Linked DNA regions of Drosophila melanogaster. The protein of the gene in region 2 interacts with the protein of the main gene of each other region in a pairwise test. Each region holds a gene or a part of one and is shown on either strand. Other genes may lie near its edges.

Region 1 (4,704 bases), on a different chromosome or scaffold from region 2:
ATAAAAATGTATGTACAAGACGGAAAAATTAGATTGAGAAAGATTTACAAGGGTACAATTCAAAAAGTAAACAAGAGGTTATTTATGAGAGCTAACAAATGTTTATTAAGTGCGTGTGTAAAAACTATACAGCGTTTTTTTTTTTTGTGATTATTATAAAAGGAACGTTGTTCAGTATTTTTTCATTTTCCTAATTTTATTTTAAATTACCTTTTCCGTTCTTGTTTGATTATATATTACTCATTGCAACTAACGCACAATAACCACACTATTTTCCTAGCATAAACTCTTTAAAAAATGCCCACAAAATCAATAGGTTTTTAATGAAATTCAAACACTCAATTATGTTGGCTAACCTGAAGTGTTTGGCCATAACAAAGGCCTGTGAACTATGCAAACACAAACGTATCCCCGCACTGGGTTAAAACACATTACACAGAGCCACATCAGTTTCTGCGGCAGTTGGAGGATATGCCGGTTGATTGTCTGGAGTCAAATAAAATCGATTTGTTTAATGGCAAATCCCTGTGAATGGCGCATTTCCCATGGTTCGCTTCCGTTTGGCGAAACTTTCATTCAAATCGATTGTGGAGCACTATATGTATAGCTGAAAGCTGGGATCTAGGACAATCGGGTAAATAATGGTGGAGGTAGGGAATGGCGAAGTCATCGCCATCGTCGGTTTCTAGTCTCTGATGTCTAGTGTGTCTGCAACTTTGTGCTCCCGACGATAATGGTAATGATAATGGCGATGATGATGATGATGATGTTAAACGCTGCAAACTGCACGTTCATTGTGTGCTCAAAGTGTCAGCCGCCGGGCGCTCACAGATTTTCCCGTGTAAAAAGTTGCATATATGTATACACCGATATATATATATGTATGTATGTACATACTATATAGCCCAAACGTGCTTCCCAACTAACTGCCACTTCCGTTTCTCGAAGAGGAGGAGCATTGTTTCTGCGCCTTTGTTGCCACCAGTTTTCAGTGCGCCCCAAAGTATGCTGTACAATTTATTGACTTTGCTTGTAACTTGCTTCGTTTTAATGTCGCGTTTATTGCGAAAAATCTTGGGGCATCGAGAAGGCACTTGTATAGAGTACAATAAACTTGGCTTTAGTGCTCCTTTATGTAAGTTAACCACTGATATTCAAAGTTCAACGCATGCCACAGAATACAAAGAACATGCTTCAAAAAATGGGTATTTCCCTTTTAGTGAAGTTTTTTAAATTAATTAAAATCTTCTGAAAATAACTTTTATTGTTGTGTATCTCTTACGGAACTAACTAAGCATAGTTTTGTTACATACAATTATTATTATTCTTGCCTTTTAAAGGGATAAACCAATATTTACTGTGTTGGCATGTTGACTCTACAGCAGCTGCAATCTGTATCTTTATCGGATGCAATTGATCTGTTCCGAGTACAGACAGAAATAGTTTTCTTGGCACGCTTTCAACGAAAATTGCTAATGGCTCTTGAGGGGATTTATTCAATATGTTTTTTGATGCAAAGTCAAATGCAGAGTATTCCCCTACTTTTCAACAAAATCCTCGTTGGTGTTGTAAACTGGCTGCAGGCGTCTTGGATATTTACGCAAATATTCGGCAAAATGTTGGGCATATTTGGCCTGGTAATCACGACGCCTCCAGGGCTGAGCGGGTTCATAGAAATTCTCCTTATTATTGTACGTATTTAGATAGTTATTTGTGGCCAATGAGCGACTGCCGCCAATTTGGACCACTTGCTCCTCATCGCGACCCGAATCGCTGGTCTCCAATTCCGGATTCCTTTGTGGATATGGCTGAAGTTGAGGTGGAATTTGAGATTGAGGATAGCGCAGAGGTGTTGATGGCGTAGTCTCCTGTTGTTGATAGTAAAAGTAGCCGGGCACATTGTTATAGTTGTGATTGGGAGCATGTGTTGGGTCTTCCCTTCTCCAATTTGGATATGCTTGTCTATACGCAGGTTCCGCAACATAATAACCATTACTTTTTGGATACTGCTGCTGTTCCTGGGCACTGTACTGATTATCATTCACTATGATAGGCGGACCCGACCATATCGATTGTACATCTGGATTGGCATAGTTGGATTGAGCGTAGTTGGATGTGGTAATTGCATAAGCACTGCCATAAGGTGATGCATACTGAGCTCTCCCACAAACTGCATCGATCATCAGGGGCATAAGTGCACATAGCTTGGAATAATCATTAATAGATTAATCATCTCGGGTGTCCGAATGGAAATCTAGTGAAACACTCACCCAGCTCGACGAGCTGCTCTTCACGATCCGTCCTGTTTGCGGCTTCATTTCTGACTGTTCAGAACGATTTATGCTAATAACGTATTTATATGAGGTTTCACAACAGTCTCTCTGGAAAGCCATATAGTATATATAGTATAGTAATGTATAGTAGTGCATGATGTTCGTTTGCAGCAGCGCCTCTGTCAAGGTGATTGGATGAGCAAACCCCACTTTACCTGACTCAAAAATTTAGCAGGCGGCATTTCTGTAATGTTTGTATTTTTTCTCACGCACGTTTTTTTGCAGCCCTGACAGCTTAAGTGCGGCATCGTTGTTTTGGGCCTGGCCCGTAGTGGAAAACCATTTGGAAGCATTGGCAACACGGGCGGCAGGCAAATTGCGGTGTCACGTACCGCGTAATTAGTAATTAGATTTTCAAGTCAACTGTAATTAGAGGTTAACAAGAGCGAGTGTTGAAAGCAACCGATAGTTGCATACCTTATGATCTTGTTGATAAAGCTGCTTGCTAGAAGAAAAACTTACAAGTCCGTTTCCCTACATATGTATCTTATCTAAAAATATGACTGAACTTCAAAATTAGAAACAATTCGAGCTTGCTTTATTATAGTAAAGGGTATCAACGTTTTCTTACTAACATTTTGTATAAAAAATACAAATTGAAGACTTATGTTTGAAATTTAGCTGGCGTTACTTTAAAATCCAATTCACTTCTACAAATTTGGTTGCATGTAATAGATAAAGAATGCCCCATCACGTGGCACTGGAAGCTTTCTCAGGAACTCGCCACCATCGTATGAATCGCTAAATAATTGGGTTAGATTGGCGTTGGGTTCCATCTGCTTGGAAATGGGCATTCCGTGGCACGTACTATCGCGCGTTAAGAACTAGAAAAAAGAATACAAAATAATTAGATTTCAGTGAAAAGAAAAAATTGTCTAAATATGACTATAGCTTAATATTTCAAGAACGACTTGCTTTAAACGCACCATCATCTCCCTTATGGTTGTCAAATTTTGTGGTGGCGGAGGATGATTGAATGGCTCCTTATTGAATATGTTATCGCCACAGCACTTGAGCAGATGGGATGTTATTATGTTCCTAGATCTGGCCTCGTCTGCATTTTGTGGTGGTTGGCGCAGCTTGTCCATCCACATGGTGGCCATCGTTTTGGAGCGAAAGTCCAGCTGGCAAATGCTTTGCTCCAACTTCTGAATATCCTGCTCGAATTCCTCGTCGAATTTGGTGATTTCTGGATTTACCCTTTTGGAGGAAGTGGATGGCTCCTTCCTCAGATGTTCACGCTGCAATTCCTTTTCACGCTGACGTTCCTTCTCCAGTTCCTTGCGCCACTCCTGCTGATGCTGCTTTTTCTCTCGTTCCTTTTCCCTCGCGAGTTCCTTTCGCCGCTCCAGTTCCCGCTTGCGTTCCATTTCCTCCTCCCTCCTGCGCTCCTTGCGATCCTCCTTGCGCTCGGGACTCGGATTCTTTTCGGGCTTCTGCGATTCGGAATCCTCCACGACGAAGGTCTTCTGTCTGTTTCTGCGAGCGGTGCGAATCAACATCCCAAAAGTTGATTAGAAAACTAACTAAATAATTTTCAATTTACCCTTTCATGTCTCGTTTGTAAATATTTTTGAATATGTTCCTAAATCCCGTACTGTTTTGCTTGCTCATTTTGACGGATGTTTCGAAATGATGCCAGATAATATTTCATTGCTAGGCATATTGCATACCTAAAATCATGTTCAAAGTGATAAACTTATTAAGTTGTATTGTATATTTCTATTTTTCAGATGAAAACCCCCGCCATACAGAATGATTTTAGCTACTACAGACGCATCGTCAGCCGACAGCGTGTGGATTCCACGGAGAATATGCTGGTCAGCACGGAACTGGCCAACCGGATGTCCCTGTTCTACGCCCACGCCACGCCCATGCTCAAGGTGCTGAGCGAGGCGACCTCAAAGTTTGTCAATGACAATGCCGATGATGTCCAGAACACGACGGAAACGCTGGGCACCATGGCCAAGGTGTGCCTGAGGATGCTGGAAAATCCGTGAGTTTAAATGAATCACTATCAATGATAATAAGTATTCTAATCGATGGACAATATTGCTTTTAGAAAACTCCTGCAACAGATCGAGCGTGAGGACACGAAAATGCTGGTGCTGCGCGTAATGGTCGGCCTGGTGATCCTCTACGACCATGTGCATCCGGAGGGAGCCTTCGTGCGTGGCGCCCATGTGGATGTGAAGGGGTGCGTCCGACTGCTGCAGGCGCAACCGGCCATCAAGGCGGAGCCGCTGCTGAATGCCCTGCGATACACGACGAAGCATTTGAATGGGGAGAACACGCCGAAGAATATACAGCGTTTGTTGGCCGCATAATATTGGAGGGGATCGGTGGGCGCGGCCGGTGTGGGCGGAGAGTT
Region 2 (4,516 bases):
GGTTGGGTCTATTCTCTGGCCTATCCGTCCAAGACGTGACTGGCATTCCACCCGGGGATCCCTCCGTCCGAAAGGGTTTCATGGAGGGGAACGGAACCGACCGTATCTGGAGCACAACGAACGGAACGGTCTCATAACCGTAGCGATTCCATATAGTTTACTGAACTCTCGCCGCACAGAAACAAATATATATAAATTAGTTCTTCCGAAATGGGCGCTTGTTAAAAACATAGTGGAAAATCGAGGAAAAAAAATGCAACGGAATGTTCGATGAAAAATGCGTTCGGTTTACCATTAATCCGCTGCCCTGATCCAGGGCGACAGATCATTACACACGCGCGGGACTTCCGAAACGGGAGGAGTTCCTCATTTGGGGACATGCGACAGGCGAGTGGCGATGTTTAGGGGCCCCCCGAAATCGTATGTATATGTAAATTTATTAATAAAAACTCCCAAAAAAAAAAAACGGATGCACATTGGCCCCTAAAAATGGGAGGGTGGGTGTGCACTGCTGCAGTTGTTGCCTGTCCGTAATTTATAGACCCGCTGCCGAATGACATGCTAACTAATAGTATCATCATAATTTATACATACAAATACATTGCATTTGTTATTTATGCCCTTGCGCCACCCCTCGCAACTAAAGCCACCCCCCACCCCATCCCTTACGTGATTTCCATACACAGATCCCCGATGACAGAGGTCACAGCACCCAAAAGGGCAGAAGGTTAGCCGGCGTTAATGGCACCGTTTGACCCTCGGCCATATTTGAATATCGATTACAATTAAACGGTCACAACTATAGATAACGTACACGTGATCGCAGATTGATAAATGTGCCAAATATTTATTATGTGATCAATTTATTATTCTTAAACGGGAAATTTCGAGTTACTTGCTTTGTGAATATACATTTCATGGGAAGCCTATTATATTTAATTTTCAAGTGCCAAATGAGATTCGTAAAGTTAGTTAGGAACTAATGGGCTCTTCTAGAACCAACTACCACGGTGGGATTGCGAAGGGTTCGGATCATTGAGACCTACAAAAAAACGATTTTAATGCGATTCTTCATTAGGTAAGTAAAATGCCTTACCATTCGAAGAGTAGCCTCCAGCTAACCTTTGACCACCACGCATGGAACCAACTCGCATTCCAGCGCCAAGGCCATTGCTCATGCCCATGCCGGAACCCATGCCTCCATCGAATCCCATAGACTCGGGCATGGAATGGCCCATTCTGTTACCCATTTCAAGACCAGGCTCTGAGCCCATGCCCTGTACCGAAGCCGGGCTAATAGAACCCAAAACAGTTTTAGATCAGCCTTAAGATCCATAAAAAAAAACTTACCCAACTTGAGAATGACCGTAACTGGGCTTAAAATTCGTGTACATGTTCATCATATTTTGGTTGTAGGAGGCGAATGGATCACCTGGAGATGCGTTATTCTGGTGCGATCCCATTCCACTGGATCCATGCAAATAGTTTTGGGTGTTCGCTTGACTTGAGTGCAGCCACTGACGACCACCGCCTCCAGGAGGAGTACTACCCCTTCCCATCTGAAACCATTCCATGGTTTAGACCCGGATACCGAAGTACGTAGGCAGACTCACCTGTGAGTAGTTGGGATTTCCCTGACCACCATGGCTGTACTCCCAATTGAATTCCGGACCGTTTTCCATCGTTAAAAAATTTAAAAATTTCAAAAAAATTTCAAATGGTTTTTGAAAAAATTTTGTTGGCCGATCTGTTACCTTACTGAATGCCGGACTAAAAATGAGGATTTCTAATTCGAGCCAACTGAAGTACACATTAATGTGTTTTCCATGCTTACTTGATTTGAAAACTTCTAACTTGTTTTAGTCATGTACAATCTATACGTTTATAATCTTCTATAACAGGAAAACAAACAAAATAAATCATTTCGTTGTCGCATCATGAATATCATTAGCAAAAACCAGTCTGTGTTCTATACTCGCTCTTAACGGAATATTTGAGATCATGCTGAGATTTTGAAATGTTATCTCTGATCTTCTCATATAATCTTAGACATAATAAAATTCAAATTTTGTGCAAACACAGTCATAATAAACATTTTTAATCATCATCTCGAGATTATTAGCCTATTAATGGCAGTTAAGAACAGCCATTCAAACTTATTGAATTAATCATTTCAGTGTCTGGGTGGCTGATTTATGGAATTAATGTCCAGATGCTGGTGATAAATAAATAAATGTTTAAGCAAATGTAGCGCAATAAATACTGATTATTGTTTTATTCTAAAAATGTAATATATTCAGACGGTGTGCTTGGTGAAAGTTGTAAGAAATATAAACCAGTTGGATAGGAAACTACTAAATAAATTTTGTCCGAAAAGGACTTTAGCACTACAAACTAAAACCCATGTTGGGCCACACTTCGGTAGATAAGAAACCTTGTTATCCTTAGCGACTTCCACCTGTACACACCGCATGCCGCACAGCTGTATCTTTTTCCCTGCCTCTGACAAACCAGTTTCCTATCGATGCAAGTTTTATTTATGTTTCTTGCCGATCTGCAGAACAAAGGCCAAAGACTGACCTACAAAGGAGCAGCAGACAATGGCAGATGACCTCATAAATTGCATCGTTATGAGGTTCATAAATAAATTATTGCTTCATATTCATAATGCACTTGAGGCCAAGTGTCGGCATGTCCTTGGACCAGCCAGCAATGGGATCTACCTGTCGTCCCACAAAATGTATCTCCCGAGCCCTAAGATTTATGGCTGGAATGGCAAGAGATGAGGGAACGTTAGCTCTGCTTTTTTAGCAGCAATTTAAAATGCATAAAATATTTGATGGTCCCTTTAACTCAAAACAAGGCATCAGGAAAGGAAACGAGAAGTGCCCTCCTTTGATCGTCATCTCCCTGATGGCTAATCCCATTTTATGGCATTCGTGCGGTCTTGGGGCCGTAAAATTGTTTTGTCACCTGTTGAAAACATTTTTTATTTTTAATTGAAAAAATCTGTTTCGGGAATGCCACGAGCTCCAGAGCACACAGAAATTTCATAAATTTCTTGGCGACCCTCGTCCGGGGGATAAATATTTTTCTTACTCTGGTTTGTCTTTCTATTTTCTCCACCAACATTTTGTCTAATTTTAAACGTATTTAAACGTTGGAAAATATGAATTTCCACCGCTTAAGGTCCATCCTAATTGCTGCCAATTAACACCTTCAATAAGCCCAAATACCATGGGCCCATTTGTCAGGGCCACGGGGGCGTTCAAATGCCTTGCCTTGTGACCCCGGCAAAACATTTTGATTTATCAACTCTTTTTACATTCCCAACACGAGTGCATCGATCAGAGGCGGAGGACACGAAAATAGCTGCATTGAAACTCCGGAGTCATCGGAGTCATCTGCATTAAGATCCGACAAAGACAACACTCGAATCGATTTAACTCTTTGACCCCGCCCACTCGTCGACCCCGATAGATCCAGGTTTCTGACTCGTCCGACAGCCGACATATGCGAGGGTCTATTAAAAAAATTGTTTATGAAAACAAACATTTTCGAGGCAATTAATCATTGGCATCATCGGTGGCGCGTGGGGGAACTTTAGCCATATAGTACCCATCTTCCAATCTTCCATCGACCGTAACCCCTTCATATCGTGCTGCTTTTGCTGCCGTTGATGATCATAATAATGATGATGATCTCCATCTGCAGTAGCTGGCTGAGTGCCTCCAGTTTTCATTTGGAAATCGTTTTATGGTCCCATCTTGAGGAACTCATCGAGTTGAGGGGGAGTGTTAAACGTCTGCCAATTAGTGATGCTTGTTGGATGTGCTGTTGCGATCGTTTTCCTAATTGGCTGAAATATGAAAGGTCTTTCGCTTAATCACCGGAATAAATCCTCTCGATCGTAGCAGTTTCATGAAGATGTGAGAGTTTAAGAGGTGGGGCTAATACTATGTTTATTAAAGAGGATATTTGAAGAAACCAATGATAATATAAACTAAAAGATATATCTATTTTGTATATTACAAAAAATAATCAATCTAATTTTATGTTCGTTCTTAAAGATACAAGATACAAAACCGACAAGCTCACAAGTCGAGCACTATTTCTATTTTGTATTTTATATTCACCTCCCGTAGTATTGCCGCTATTGTTGTTGACAATTTGCGATATAAAAACTGATGTCCTGTCCGGCAAATATCCTCGAGGGATGGCCGGGATGGATGGTATGGATCTCTGTGTGATTTGATTGTGAAAACCGAAACAAACAAAAGTAATTTTTGAATGAAAAGCAATAAATTTGAAAACATTTATTGGTTTTTGGCTGGCTGTCATGTGCCAAAAGCAGCAGAAGCAGCAGCAACAACCGAAGGGGCATTGCTTCTGCTTGCATCATTTAGCCCGGCTTTATGAGTCGCACAGACGGATAGGAAAATATATAGATAGATACATATACTCGTACCATTCATACATCCACCCACAGATGGACAGATAGATGACTGCGTTGCCT

The links. Proteins that work in one complex are often made in the same cells at the same time.
Region 1: the proteins of CG14926 (region 2) and CG14153 interact in a two-hybrid assay, tested with the Drosophila melanogaster proteins (one large-scale study listed by BioGRID).

Annotation. Positions count from the first base shown.
Region 1 is NT_037436.4:10,641,157-10,645,860, reverse strand, and holds CG14153 (uncharacterized protein), read right to left. Parts: upstream 2,334-4,704; 5' UTR 2,319-2,333; coding exon 2,271-2,318; intron 2,205-2,270; coding exon 1,539-2,204; 3' UTR 1,246-1,538; downstream 1-1,245. Other genes in the region: CG14154 (uncharacterized protein), read right to left, coding at 2,984-3,157, 3,260-3,835; CG32066 (uncharacterized protein), read left to right, coding at 4,067-4,329, 4,396-4,660.
Region 2 is NT_033779.5:11,341,487-11,346,002, forward strand, and holds CG14926 (uncharacterized protein), read right to left. Parts: upstream 1,833-4,516; 5' UTR 1,683-1,832; coding exon 1,614-1,682; intron 1,560-1,613; coding exon 1,351-1,559; intron 1,294-1,350; coding exon 1,097-1,293; intron 1,043-1,096; coding exon 993-1,042; 3' UTR 815-992; downstream 1-814.